Linked DNA regions of Stegostoma tigrinum. The protein of the gene in region 1 purifies or fractionates together with the protein of each later gene. This does not show direct contact. Links are inferred from orthologs where the notes say so. Each region holds a gene or a part of one and is shown on either strand. Other genes may lie near its edges.

What was found. Proteins that work in one complex are often made in the same cells at the same time.
Region 2: the proteins of cabin1 (region 1) and ubinuclein-1-like purify together in Homo sapiens (affinity purification with western blotting; 6 studies listed by BioGRID, with this or other methods). This does not show direct contact. The link is inferred for Stegostoma tigrinum from reciprocal best matches to the Homo sapiens genes CABIN1 and UBN1.

Annotation. Positions count from the first base shown.
Region 1 is NC_081379.1:47,094,002-47,101,353, reverse strand, and holds the start of cabin1 (calcineurin-binding protein cabin-1), read right to left. Parts: upstream 3,028-7,352; 5' UTR 2,622-3,027; coding exon 2,619-2,621; intron 1-2,618. UniProt on the Homo sapiens protein: May be required for replication-independent chromatin assembly. May serve as a negative regulator of T-cell receptor (TCR) signaling via inhibition of calcineurin. Inhibition of activated calcineurin is dependent on both PKC and calcium signals.
Region 2 is NC_081376.1:47,043,639-47,051,012, forward strand, and holds the start of ubinuclein-1-like, read right to left. Parts: upstream 3,054-7,374; 5' UTR 2,744-3,053; coding exon 2,477-2,743; intron 1-2,476. Other genes in the region: glyr1 (cytokine-like nuclear factor N-PAC), read left to right, coding at 3,347-3,384, 3,587-3,623, 5,572-5,651. UniProt on the Homo sapiens protein: Acts as a novel regulator of senescence. Involved in the formation of senescence-associated heterochromatin foci (SAHF), which represses expression of proliferation-promoting genes. Binds to proliferation-promoting genes.

The DNA of each region.
Region 1 (7,352 bases):
ACAAAAGATCAGGAAGCTATATAATAGCAAAGGTATTACCTGGGACAGTGACTAGAATATAGGGTTCAGCATTAAACAAGACTAGGATGAGTTTGATGGTGATAGGGTGGCGACAAATAAGAAACTGTGTGTCTGCCACATTATAGCAAAAACGTTTTCAAATCTTGAATTTGGGATTCACAGCATCCGATTCATGCCCAGCAACAGCTCAACATTTTCCCTCAGTAGTCTAATGATTAAAAAAGACAGTCTTCTTTGGGTCAGTGCAGGTATATCAAGTTGTGAAAGCTTCAAGAGGAGAGAATTTACTGTGGAAACTTTGAACAAAAGTATATGAGACCAGCAGGACCTGAGCAGGCCTGAGAGATGGTAGGTTGATTTGGATCATGATTTTTGGAAGCCCAATCCACAAAGAGATTTTACCATTCAGCTCCTAATAACTCTAAATTCTAAAAGGATACGATAACATTGGCCAAAACAGGCCAAGTAGGAAAGGATGCAACATTGGAAATTCATAGTTTTAGCTGATATCTCCTGTATGTGACAGGGGTGAGGGCTGGGGGAACTCTTCCCTGGCGTAGGACAATATCACAGTAGTAATTGGTTTGCAGGCTCCTATTCAGAGTAATGGATTGCTGCATATATCTGGCACCTAACCAACAAAGAAACAGCAAGTACTATATTATAATGGAGATCCAGTACATTGAAAGGAAGACATTCAAAATGTTATTTTACCAAATTCACAAAAGCAAAAATAAACACACTAATTAAGCAGGGATCAGATCAATTATAGTGACCCAGTATGGAATGGTTAGTTTTGGAAATGAACTCAGAAAAGACGGTGACATATTGGAAATTCAAAAATGACTGACCAGAAGGACTCCAAGAGTACATTCTTGTGTACGAGTGTCCAAACAGCGCAATATCTGGGAAATGGTGCACCACCGGATATGGCACTTTCTGAATTAAACATTAAAGTAAGGCCCCTTTGATTGTTATAAATTAGAGATCTTTATTCCACATACTCCAAAGTACTGGACTGAGGTATGAGCCCACTTTCTAATCAAAAAGACAAGAGCTACCACAAAAAGACTATTGAAAAGGCTATAACAACCAAATGTTCTCTAATGCAATTCTGGTGTTAAGTTCTCAACCCAGATAGAAGTACTGTGGCATTTGTTACCAGGAATGGACCTTACATTATCCCTACTTTACCAGAGCATAATACTGCTCCCATTCTCTTCACGTAAAGCATCAAGAGTTTTGCAAGTTCAGGTAGACACAGTATGAGCATATCACACTCAGCCCTGTCTGAATGTTTTCTTGGTGACAGCAGTAACATGGAGGGAAGTCAATCCTTCCAGATGACAAGCAAATTACACTGTCAATAACATCAGGACCTACCAGATTTTATGAGGAACTTTTAAGGCAACTCTTTTGCACTTTTTAAAGAGTAAAACCTACCTGGGTGCAACCATAAAAATCATCATCTTCATTATCTCTGTTAATGCTTCAGTAAAGTTATGATGAAGAAAGTGCCCATAATGCAGTTGCTAGGTAATTCAACAAACCTTATACGCTCAAATGCCAGATAGACAACTTTTTTGTGGTATCTTTATGGCTAGCCCAAAAACAAGTGAAACTGTGAACCATACAACAATCAGGTTAACATTCCATTCAGTATCTGTGTACACCAAGAAGCATGTCATAATTGCAGAAGGAAGAGAAAGATTTCTACATCACAAGTTATTTAAGTATTCAATCATTTCTTGGCACTTACAGCACAGAAGGAAATCTTCCTACCAGACATTTCACCGGCAATTACAACGTTCAGTTCATTCATATTAGGTGCAGGTTTGTCTACAAAACGACTTGAATAACATTCTCAATTGGACTGAAATTTAGCAGATAACATTCACACAACATCAGTGCCAAATTATGGCAACCTTCACAAGGGAAAATAACCTTCGCCTGACCTTCAGCAGCACCATCAACATCTTGGACATCACCACTGAGCATAAACTCAACTGGGCCAGTTATATCGATACTATTAGCCATAAAACAGCATACTGACTCCGATCCACTAAATGACCCCTCAAAGCCTCTCCCACATCAACATGAGTTCATGAAAAAAAACAAACCCTCCATCTGCAATGTTTACAGCGTCTCTCTCCACCAGTACTGGTTCATAAGTTCCAGCATTTCCTGCTTTTATTTCCTCACTTGTTGGAACGGCGCAGCAGCAGCACCACGGAACAACCCCCCAATAAAAAGTAACACCATCCAGGACAAAACAAACCAAGGGATGGATCATTTGCGTGTTTCCACATTCATTTATCCAGCTCATTCCCGGTGCTTTGACTGAAGGATGCATTCGCAAAGCTAAGAGCTTCCAGGGCCGACAGCAGTAGCTGTGTTGATGGGGACAGCACCCTGCGAGCTCTCTTGGTTTCTGTACCCTCACAGGTCAGGGCAGGGCAGCCTACCCCTGCCCTGGAGCTGCTTACTAGGAGCTGGGCCTCCGCAAAATGCGAGCTCCCGCCTGTGTGCAGTGCACTGCAGCCCAACGGAGTCATCCCCCCGCCCCCATTCCTGAAGATCAGGTACCGCTCACTCACCATCCTGCTCCGCGAGCCACAGACAGCTCCTGGCTTCACTCACTCTCGGAGAGCTGGCCGGCGGTCCAAAGACTGAAGCCTAAGGCCAGGGGATGCCGCCAGCTCTCAACATCCAGCCCTGTCCCTCGCCGTTACCATGGGACCGAGCCTACAGCACAATAAACCGGCTTCCTATTGGCTGGGAACACCATTTGGCTCTCCCAAATAGATCTCTCCGCTGAGCAACTAACGGCCGCGATATGACCGAATTGGCGGGATCGGGAGATCCAGTAGGCGGGATCCACGGATCCCAAGTGGGGCGCCTACAGATCCACTGGGCCGTGACTGGAGCACAAGGACGGGATCTAGGAATCCAGTGGGTGGAATCTACAGGCTTCGTCCGGAGAGCTCACAGGCGGAGTTTGGGGAGCAAGTAGGCGGGGTCAAAACACCCATGGGGTGGGGCCAAGACGCAAAGGGGGCGGTGCTTGAGGTGGGCGGCTCTGGAAGCCCGGCCGGGCTGGAGGCTTGAGGGTGTATCTGGACGGTCCGGGGTCGCGGCTTGATTTCCGTGGGCGGGGCGGTATTTGCTCGGGTCGGTGACAGGTGAGCAGGGGCCCGGGGAGGCGGGGTGGCGGGGGGCGGGGAGCTTGGTCATTTAGGGCGGGGACAGCTGCGCTTGTGGCGAAGCTGGACGTGCAGGCGGTGGGGCCAGTTGCACGTGGGCGGGCCAGACATGAAGGGGGAGCGGCCTGATGCGCAGGGGGCGGGCTGTTGATTGACTGTCAAGCGGGGAATCATACGTCTGGATTTTAAAGATGGCGCACAGTAGGTTTGGAGGAGGTGGTGTAGGTCAAAGATGTCTAAGGGGTCAGTGATCATCGTTATATTTAAGATATTTATTATAATGTTTATCACAATAAGTAAAAATATTTAAGCTGACTATGGACCTGGACAAAGGGCAATCTAGAGTAAGAATAATTACGTGGGAGAACGCATAAGACCATAAGTCATAGGAGTGGAAGTAAGGCCATTGGGCCTATCGAGTCCACTCCGCCATTTCCACTCCACCATTTAATCATGGCTGATGAGCATTTCAACTCCACTTCCCTGCACTTTCCCCGTAGCCTTTGATTCCTTGTGAGGTCAAAAATTTACCAATCTCTGCCTTGAAGACATTTAACGCCCAGCTTCCACTACGCTCAGTGGCAATGAATTCCACAGGCCCACCACTCTCCGGCTGAAGAAATGTATCCTCGTTTCCATTTTAAATTCACCCCCTCTAATTCTAAGGCTGTGCCCACGGGTCCTAGTCTCCCCGCCTAACGGAAACAACTTCCCAGCGTCCACCCTTTCTAAGCCATACATTATCTTGTACGTTTCTATTAGATCTCTCCTCAACCTTCTAAACTCTAATGAATACAATCCCAGGATCCTCAGCTGTTCATTGTATGTTAAACCTACCATTCCCGGGATCATCTGAGTGAATCTCCGCCGGACATGCTCCAGCACCAGTATGTCCTTCCTGAGGTGTGGGGCCCAAAATTGGACACAGTATTCTAAATGGGGCCTAATGAGAGCTTTATAAAGTCTCAGAAGCACATCACTGCTTTTATATTCCAACCCTCTTGAGATAGATGACAACATTTCATACGCTTTCTTAATCACAGACTCTACCTGCAAGTTAACCTTTAGAGAATCCTGGACCAACACTCCCAGATCACTTTGTACTTCTGCTTTACGAATTTTCTCACCATTTAGAAATTAGTCCATGCCTGTATTCTTTTTTCCAAAGTGCAAAACCTCGCATTTGCTCACGTTGAATTTTATCAGCCATTTCCTGGACCACTCTCCTAAACTGTCTAAATCTTCCTGCAGCCTCCTCACCTCCTCAGTACTACCTGCCTGTCCACCTATCTTCGTATCATCGGCAAACTTCGCCAGAATGCCCCCAGTCCCTTCATCCAGATCATTAATATATAAGGTGAACAGCTGTGGCCCCAACACTGAACCCTGCCGGACACTTGTCACCGGTTGCCATTCCAAAAAAGAGCCTTTTATCCCAACTCTCTGCCTTCTGTCAGACAGCCAATCCTCAATCCAAGCCAGTAGCTCACCTCAAACACCATGGGCCCTCGCCTTGCTCAGCAGCCTCCCGTGAGGCACCGTATCAAAGGCCTTTTGTAAGTCTAGATAGATAACATCCACTGGGTTTCCCTGGTCTAACATACTTGTTTCTACACTTTCAGTTGGGTAAAAAAAACTGAGTTGAATAAACTGCAGTAAAATGTTGCCAGAAAAAACAAAGGTGAACAATAGGTAGCCTTCAGAGAATAGATAGTTCACACACAAGTAGGTGCCTGAAAGGAAAAGGAAGGGCAAACAAATCCAACGTTCCTATGAAATAAGACTAAGGAGATAGAAATGAAGATAAACAACATTGCGGATATGACCAATGTCAGGTGGAAAATACAACTGAGAACCAGACTGAGAATAAATTGTTAAGAGAGGAGGTTTAAAAAAAGCAAGTGAAACAAAGAGACTGACAGCTAATATAAAGAGGTATACCAAAGCCATCTGTAGGCTAACAAATAAAGGATAATAAAAGGAATGGGCCAGTTAGGAACTGAAAACGGTATACACACATGGACGTAAGGATCTAGCTGTGATATTAAATAAAGACTGTGCATCTGTCTTTACCAAGGAGGAAATTGTTGCCCAGGCCATAGTGAAAGAATGGAAAATTCTTGAAAGAATGGAAAAAGTTGAACTTGATGAGAACAAAGTATTGGGTAGGCTGTCTGTACTTAAAAGTTGATCAGACACCAGGACTAGATGAGATGCATCTAAGAACAGTAAGTGAGAATGGAACTTGCAGAGGCACTGGCCATAATTTTTCTGACTTCCCTTGACTCAAGGGTGGTTCCAGAGGACTGGACAATTGCGAATATTGCAGACTCGATCCAGAAAAAATATGAAGATGAGCCAGTAAGTGCAGGCCAGTCAGCTTTATTTCTGCGTTGGGGAATCTATCAGGAAAATCAATACAGGATACAATTAATATTCACAGGCACTTACTTAGGGAATTTTAAAATACATTTTTCACCTTGAGTAAATTTTTGAAACTTTTTGAAGAGGTATTGGAGGAAGTTGATCAGAGCAATGATGTGACATAGCGTTCGTGGACTTCCAGAATGCCACACAATAGACTTTTGAGGAAAGTCTAAGCTCATGGAATAAAAGGAACAGTAGCAATGTGGATATGGAACTGTTGTATGAGACAAAACAATGAGTAGTAGTTAATGGACATTTCTTCAGACTGCAGGAAATTTTGTCATGGAATTCCCCAAGGGTCAGTGTTGGGGCCATTGTTTTTCCTGGTACATATATAGTAATAATCTAGACCTTGGAGTGTAGGACAAAATGTCAAAATTTGTACATGATTTCAAGCAGTGTAAACTATGAGGAGGATAGTACAGCACTTTGAAAAGTCAGACAAGTTGACAGTGACAAGTCGTAGATGAATTCTATTGCGGAGAATTATAAAGTGATACATTTTGGTGGGAGGAACATGGACACAGAGAACTCAACTCTAAAAAAGGGTACAGGATCAGAGAAACTGAATTATATGTACATAAGCCTCTACAAGTGACAGGAGAGGTTGAAACAGCATTAATAATAAGCATACAGTATCCTGACCTTTATTATTAGAGATATCGAATACAAGAGCATGGTAGTTATATCACACTCATATAAAACACTAGTTCAGCCTTGGCTGGAGCATCGTGCTCAGTTCTAGGCACCACACTTTAGGAAAGCTTTGAAAGTATTCAAGTGAGAAGAGATTTACGTGAACAGTTGAAGGTATGAAGAGCCTCAATGATTGCTTAAGATCTGGATTGCAATGCCTGAGAATGTAGTGGAGACAGGTTCAAATTCATTCAAATGAGAATTAAATTTATCAGGGTAGGAGGAAACGTACAGGATTATCAGGAGAAAATGGGAAATGCATGAAGTCAATTTTTGTCCAGACAGCCAGTGGAGACAAGATAGGGTGGCCTCTTTGTACTGTAATATTTCTGTGATTCTATGCAATCCTGGAACTAGAGGTATTTTAAACTGGAGCTGGTTTAGCAATTCTCTGTTGATATGTTCAGCATTCTATGATTTTGTTCCTCCTCCGTACTGTTGCTGACCTATATTTGATAAAGAAACACTTCACTGCTACCAGTGCATTTTAGAAGTTGCGACTCCATGTTGAACATTTCCTTAACTTTGCATAAATCAAACAGGCTGAAGGGCAGGGTGCCCTTGAATGGGTTCGCCCCAAGAGAGGGACCCATGCCTTGGAAAGCAACGTGGTTCCGACGGCGTCCAGTGAGCTCTCGCTGGCCCTTGAAAATCCAGGGGAGATGGTGTAAGTCTCGCGCCAGGCCATACCCATATCCGCAGCAGGTCTCCTTCCTTGAGATTAATGCCCTGCGTCCCTGAAAGAGGATGATAGGACTGTTTCAGGGCTGGGTGGCTTCAACACTTGACGTCATAAGGCTGGAATCAAGTCATTGGTGGACAAGAGTGGGTAAATTTGAGTGCTGCATTTCCTGTTTTTCAGGACCCAGCATGAAAAGTAATGATTTATGTATGAGTACAGAGACTGCCAACGGGAAATCTCCCAGATGCTACCTTTTCAACAAGGAAGCTGCTCAACAATTGTCGATAACATACAGAGCTGCCATATTATGTCATCAATTGATG
Region 2 (7,374 bases), on another chromosome or scaffold:
GGTTGACACTTTTGGGGTTGCAAAGCTTTACCAGTCAAAGACCACCAAAATTCATGCTTTGCCTCCAAGACGAACCTTGAGTTTGTATTAGCAATTCACTGAATGTGCCCTTCATAAGTAACAGACAATATGAACAAAGGTGAAGTGATACCTTTTGCTCTAAAATAGTTTGTTCCGATGCCATAATGTGTAAAAATATTAAAGGAAGAGACAGGGATAGTTCAAAGTTGGGATCAAGAATGAGGGGTAAAGGTGATAGCCGGAATCTGGAGCAAGGGGTTTGGAGAAATTCACAATTGAACAAATCTGAAATTCAGTCCCATCGTTTATGGTTGACAGAAATTCTTGGCAGCATTTAACTGGATAGGCAAATGAAGGAACGGAGCGGAAAAGACTTGAGAATAGTTTCAGCAAATGAGAGTAGAACTATACCCTTGTATGGAGTATCAACATTTGACAATGGACTGGTTCTGAGTTATCTATTTCTGTTACTTGTGAATTAAAGACCCAACTTGGAACTACTTCCCTATGCAAAAAGCAGATAAGAGCTTGAATCAACAGTTTGTTACATTTGGCACACAGCAGATAAACTAAGTCAGTGTGGCTGTGATGTACCTTTGAAAATGCATTGTTTGCAACAATGGGACATAAACATTGAAGTATTGAGAGAAGTTAACCATAGTAGTGGAAAGGGCTAATGTTCTTTGCAACATTTAGCCTGAAAAAGATTTTAGAGGAACTATGCATCCAAAACATGTGCATTCAGAAACAGCTGTTAGTAAATATAGGCAATTCATTGGTTGGGGACATTAAAGGAGTAAGATTGTGCTTAAAATTCACATATCACATACACTTCAAAACTGCCTCTGAAAAACTTTAAAATGTATGGCTCATGTCAGCCAAACATTCATGTGGGTTTGCAACATGGCAAATCAGCAAAAGCACTAAGTCAGATTGTAGAAGGAAATCTTAACAGAAGGAATGAAAACTTGCCCCAATCTTGGTTCCGACTACCTGATTCTTAATCTTTCTTAATAAAATATTTGATATTATGTTTTGGTTAAATCACTCAAAAATAAAACCCAAGTGCCTCTATTTTAATCCCTGTGAAATTTACAATCAAGCAACTTTGGAAAAAGAAGTTTGATTATATCAATGCAGCTGGTTTGCTTTCCTGGACCTTCCTCTTTAAAAGTGAGATCAAAGCAACAATTCAACAAAGCAGAAAAGTCTTCACAATTGTGGAAACCCTGAATTCATCTTATTTGCTCAATATCTCAGATTTGGTTAGGGTGGAATGCAATGCAAGAACAAAGAGGATATGAAATCATTATTTCATCTTCCCACCAACATGACAACCGATTCTGAACCTTTGTATATTTAATAGCAACTGTTCACTTTCTATCATTTCACAGGCAAAGCCCATTTCTGGTTAAATGCTTTACAGTGGAAATTGTAATTGTTGATTCTATAGTCTGCTCTGTGCTCCACTCACACTTGGTGTCTCCTTTTCTTTCTTCCACAAACACAGTTCATTTTATTGAGGCCACCTATGGGATTGAGTCGGGCTACATATACGTCACACGAGAACATCAGTGTGTGGTTTAGCAAAGCTTTCAGGATAACATGAGTCAAGAGAAAGGCTCCAAGTCAGATCAAATGTGATTCTAGATCTCTACTCCAATTTTATTTCAGTATCATATCTTCTGTTCTCTTTTGCTAACTTGCCTATACAATACACTAAGAACTAGTTTCAAGATGCCAACATGGATTCAATATTTTAATTTCAACAGCCTGATCTCAAGTGCTAGACCTAAATACAAAGCAATGTTGTAGTTTACCAGACTTCAACATGAAAACTGCTTTTGTCACATGCAATCAAGTTTATTTTATGTTCATGTTGTTCTGAATTATTCAGTTTTGAAAAAATCTTATTTGTGAAAACAAATCATTTTGAGAGCTAAATTTACATTCTGACTCATGAATAACCAGGATACGACAACAATCGAATAAAGCGGCTACTAATACAGAACACTAAATCCTACTGTTTAATTTCCAGATCGATTATTGCTTGAAACTTTCAGCAACATTAAATTAATGGGGCGGTCTTGAACAACAGAAAACAGTAGCTGATTAGGTCACGTCAACTAGATCAGATATATGCAATACCATCTGTCCCTGTTTAAAATACGACATTGAGCAGGATTAACGTGTCGGTGCAAACTCTGAACTAACTAGGAAAAGCTAAACTAATTTTAATGCCCGGAGCGGTAAGGGAGAGCTTCTACCTCTTTTCAAATTAAATATTCTCCAAAATTAATTCCAAAAAGACGGGGATAGATTGTTTCTGTATTAACGGTGACTCGGCGATGGGGGGGGGGGGGTGGTCAAGGGGAGGGGGTGTACTCTAGATCGAGAGCGTCTGCGTTACTTTTCACGCTGGAGTCTGCCGCTGGGAGAGACGAGGATCGCTCACCTTCCGCACTCGCATCAACTCGGGGTAGAAGAACTCGGGGCAACTCTTCTCGCTCGACTCAAAGAGAGCCAGCGTGTGGCGCGAGGTGACGGCCGCTATTTCCCCCTTCAGCACCATCACGGCCGTCGCCTCCTCACCCCCTTCCTCCTCTTCTTCTTCCTCCTCCTCCTCCTCTTCCGCTGCCTCCTCCTTGTCTTCTTTCTTCTTCTTCAGGAGAGGAGCGGACACGGGCAGGGTAGTCAGGGACACTCGTCGCGGTTCGGCCATGTTGCGAGTCGCGCGGGACCCACTCGCTCGGCCGCTCTTTATATATATTTTTTGTCAACACCTTTCCCCCCACTTCTCCTCTCTGTCTTCACCCTGTCGTGTTGGCGGAGAGGAAGGGGATAATCTAAAACAAATAAAAGAACCGCTGACAGGAAGAAGCGGGGGAGGGGTAGCGGTGGCGGGCAATCACAATCCCTTCAACAGCAACAAAAACAAACCCGACAAAACTTCGGCCGCCGCCATCTTCCCGAGCTGCCGCGCATGCGCGCGCGCACACACGCGCTCTCCGCGGGCGCGCGCGTTTTTTTGGGGGGGCGGGGTTTGTGGCGGGGGAGGGGAAGCGAGTGTTTCCGAAACGCAGCCCCTCCCCCTCCATCCTTTTCCTCGGGAATTCCATCTCGTTCGCTTCGCGACACGGAAAGAAAAAACATTCGTAAAATAAATCCGTTGAGGAGTTTGGGGAGGGGGTGGGGCGTTGACCTTTCACCCGGTCGTGTCACGTGACGGGGAGGAGGCAGGCGGGCGGGCCGACGGACGGAGGGCCCCGGGCTGGGGGCGGGGTGTCGCCGTTGAGAGGGCGATGGACGAATTCCTCTGAGGAAGATGGCGGCTGTCAGCTTGCGGGTGGGGGATCTGGTCTGGTAAGAGGCAACAGCGGCTTATGATCGCTCTCCTTTCAACCCGATCGCGCGGGCAGCTTGTTTAGTTCTCCGGCCAGCCGCTGTCATCGAGTGTCGTTTTTATTTTTCTTTGATAGAAAAGCTCCTACCTCCCGACACACACACACCAACCCCTCTCACGAAAAAAAATAATCGCTTATGCTCTTTCTTTCCCTTCTCTCAGGGGCAAACTGGGTCGATATCCACCCTGGCCAGGAAAGGTGAGTGCGAAACACAACGTTTAAACGTTTCTTTCTTCCCACCTCCTTCCTTGTCCCTCTTTGCCTGTGTTATTTGTGGAAGGCGAGTGGGGAGTTTTGTGGATGAGGATCACTGGGGTGGGACAGAGCAAAGCACTATCCAGTTTTCATGTCGTGGAGGGATCTGGACAGAGGATCCCAAGACCGACCCCGCCAGCCTTTTCTCCTTCGCTCTCCCTATGAGGAAATCGAGCTTGTTTTATTGGGCGAGTGGCGGTGCTCCTTCACTTTGAGCCCGTTCTGTTCAATGTTCAGAGCGATTGACTGCTGAAACCGGATTGTTTCCACCGCGATGGGTGTTCCCTGTTAAAGTTACTATCGAAAGGACTCAGTTTCTGAAAACAAACGGCTTTAGTTTAAAGAGCTAATCCTCGAGTTGTAGATCTGCTTCCACATTTTGAAGGTACTCCTACGAGGAGTTACACCCTGTGGTTTCGTAGCTAGTGCTCCGCCTTCTTTGGTGAACAGGGTTTTACATTATTTTCCCTACGTCGTATAGAACACCTTTTTTGTTCCTTGTATTCCGTCAATGCTATTGCAGTGATTATGCTAACATTTAGGTTAGATTTGTGCGCTTTGAAGGTTAATAGTAGTAATGAGACGATCAGCTGATCCCAGAATTAATGGCAAAAGTATGATGAACTGATGACTGAGCAGTTTTGATGCACTGCCACATTGTTTGAAGTAGGATTATTGGAAGACATTCAGGCCATTACAGTCAGCATTTGAAGTGAAATGTAAAGTTGTTGCATGCTAAAACTGGAATCAGTATTGCAAGAAATTCTGGAACATCATTTGGCTTTCGGCCTTGATCAAAAATTTGGAGGGAATTATTCTAATTCTTTTTGTCAATTAGCATCAACTAGTACGAGGTATGAACTGGCAAGACAGCTTCAAAATAAAATTTGTTAGAGGCTCCTAAATAACTAGCGATACTATCTTTCAATCCCAGATTTATTTTTTGAATTTAAATTCCATCAGCTTCCTTGGTGGGTTTGCATTTCTCCTCTCCAGAGCATCCGTTTGAATTTCCGGATTACTAGTTCAGGAACATTATGGTCATCCTGCTATTTTGCCCTATCTATTGACACAAAAGTCAAATAAATAATTACTTACATGGAAACTGATGTTTAAAAATAACTGGAAGGCGAAGGATCACCTCATTGGAACAAATCAAAAGTTAAATACAAAGATTAGTTCCTTCTGTGTAAGAAATCTTGAAAGTAAGTGCTTTTAAACACTACAACATTTGAAACACTTGTCTCAATGCAACATTTAATTTTTTTTTTCTCTACGGCTACCTTACCCTGACTTCTGACCTGTTTGGGACTGGAATAAAAAGTGGCTACGTTTATTAGTGTCGTTATCCCATGGAAGTGTTTTTGTCGGATAGCAATTTCTGGAATTTTTTTTAAAGATCACATTTGAACGTATCAGCAGTTTCAGATAAATCGTTCTAAAATGGCTTGTTGCTTAATATGAAACAGCCCTTTTGCAGTCAATGATGTACTTCACTTGCCTGGATCAACAACACATGGGAAATGCAGAGTGGGCATGGTATGTAGCACCTATACTATGCATAACAGCAATTTGCCAAGGCTTCTGTGACCACACCTTCCAAAGACAAACGTAATGGATGACTCCACTCATTGCAAGTTCCTTTCTAAGCCAAGAACCATCCTGATTTGGAATTATTTTGCTGTTCCTGGAACTCCCTTCCTAACAATACTGTGGGTGTCACTTCAATGGAAATCAGCCATTTACTGATCTGATTATTCGATTATATGTTGTAGTGACTGCCATTCTGGATCTGAAAAGTTATGATTAGCTCTTTTTTTTTCCTCCCGAGATGAAGTATGATTCTTATTTATGACCAATTTAACATTTTAAAAATTTTTTTTGTTGTAAGATTGTTCATCCACCCAAAGATCTCAAGAAACCACGGGGGAAAAAATGCTTCTTTGTGAAATTCTTTGGAACTGAAGACCAGTAAGTCACTTATGCTTTTCCAAATATGTTTAAAAATAATTCAGCGTTTATCACAGATTATTTCCTAAAACATTTATGCAGTGTTTTGTTGTATTAGATTAAACAATCTTGCTACAATCTCCCAAATATGATCTTGCCACCTTGCAATTATTTACTCATCTCTTCCGTGAGATTTTTCTTCTGTTATTTGACACTTCCCATTCAATCTTTATCAGTTAACGGCCCCTGGCACCAATCCAAGACGTAACAATATGAAAAGTAGGATATTCAGCCTCTTGAAACCTATACTGCTATTCAGTTATGTTTTGCTGATCTGTACCTCCACTCCATTCACTTCTTTTTAACTCCTTGTCCTAAAGCACTTGCTAGCAAAGATCAGCTTTGGATGAATTTTTCAGTTTCTCACAGCTTTCTGAGGGAATGTGTTCCAGATTTCCACTATCTGTTCTATTTCAAAGAGCTTCCTGGTATCACCCCAAAAAGCTTTCAAACTTTAATGCTCTGCCCCTCTTGTCCTGAACCCTCTGAGAGGCAATGATTTCTTTGTGTACCCCATCCAGTCCTCTAACCATCTTAAACCTCATCAATTCTCCTTTTTTTTACCTGTAATCACTACCATTTTCAAAATTGGTGCTAATGCATTCTAATCCAAAAATGCAACTAGCTTAAAGACAAGTATTTGAAAGTATTATTGCCTGTAACTCTGTGCCCAACTTATCTGTTTGAATCTTTCTGTTCTGGGTTTTGCATACGACACATTAGTAAGATAACCATGGCCTCAGTCATAAAAGACATCTGAAATAACTGACCGAGCTTGCTTTCTCTCTTACCGCCTTGAACCGTTTCTAGCATCTGATGTGTTTAACGATTGATGCTGTCCTCCAGTACACGTTCATTCTCTAGCTGTGTGGGATTGTGTGTTTTCCCCCTTCACTCATGGGTCACAGCCAGTCAATCCCCAGCAATCACCTTGCTATTTTTTCCCCACATTTGCCGATAGAGGCCCTCCAAGGATCTAGCCTGGCCTACTGTTGCTCATCCCTGTGGTACTACATGTTTAAAATCAGTTAACTTTCTATCCGTACACTCCCAAGCCCGAGCTTTTCTGCTATCTACTACTTTTTCTCCTGGTCCTGGATGGATGACATATTCCTCCATCAAATTTCAGGAAAATCAAAGCCATTGTTCTTGCCATTTGCTTGAAAACCTATCTGTTTCGAAGTCAATTTGCTGTTGCTCACTTAAGTGACCAAATAAATCTTGGGATGTGATGTTTAATGCTGAGCTGAGTTTAGAATCCTGCATCATGTCCATGACAGAAACTACCTGTTTTCATTTACATACATTGTCTGCTTTGCATAAAATCTATTCCCAGTTTTTTGCTGTCTCTAGGAGGTTATTCCAATGCTCTTTGTGCTGCTCTTTGTTTATGTAATGAAGGTGCTCAATGTATTTTATATTGTTAGTTTCTTTTCACCTTCGGATGTGAGAAGCTGAGTTACAGATGACTTGGTTATTCCAGTTGTTCATGGGTCGAGTATAACCTATTTAGATTTGGTCCTACAGTGCAGCTGTGAAGTAATTAAGATAATCCTTGCTTTCCGTTTAGCACAAATTAGGTTCCTGCTCTCCCTTGCAATGGCATGTTTCCAATGAATTTCAGGAAAGATGGGATTAAAGGATCCATCAATAAAGTCTGTGGGCATAGATCAATCTCTTTCAG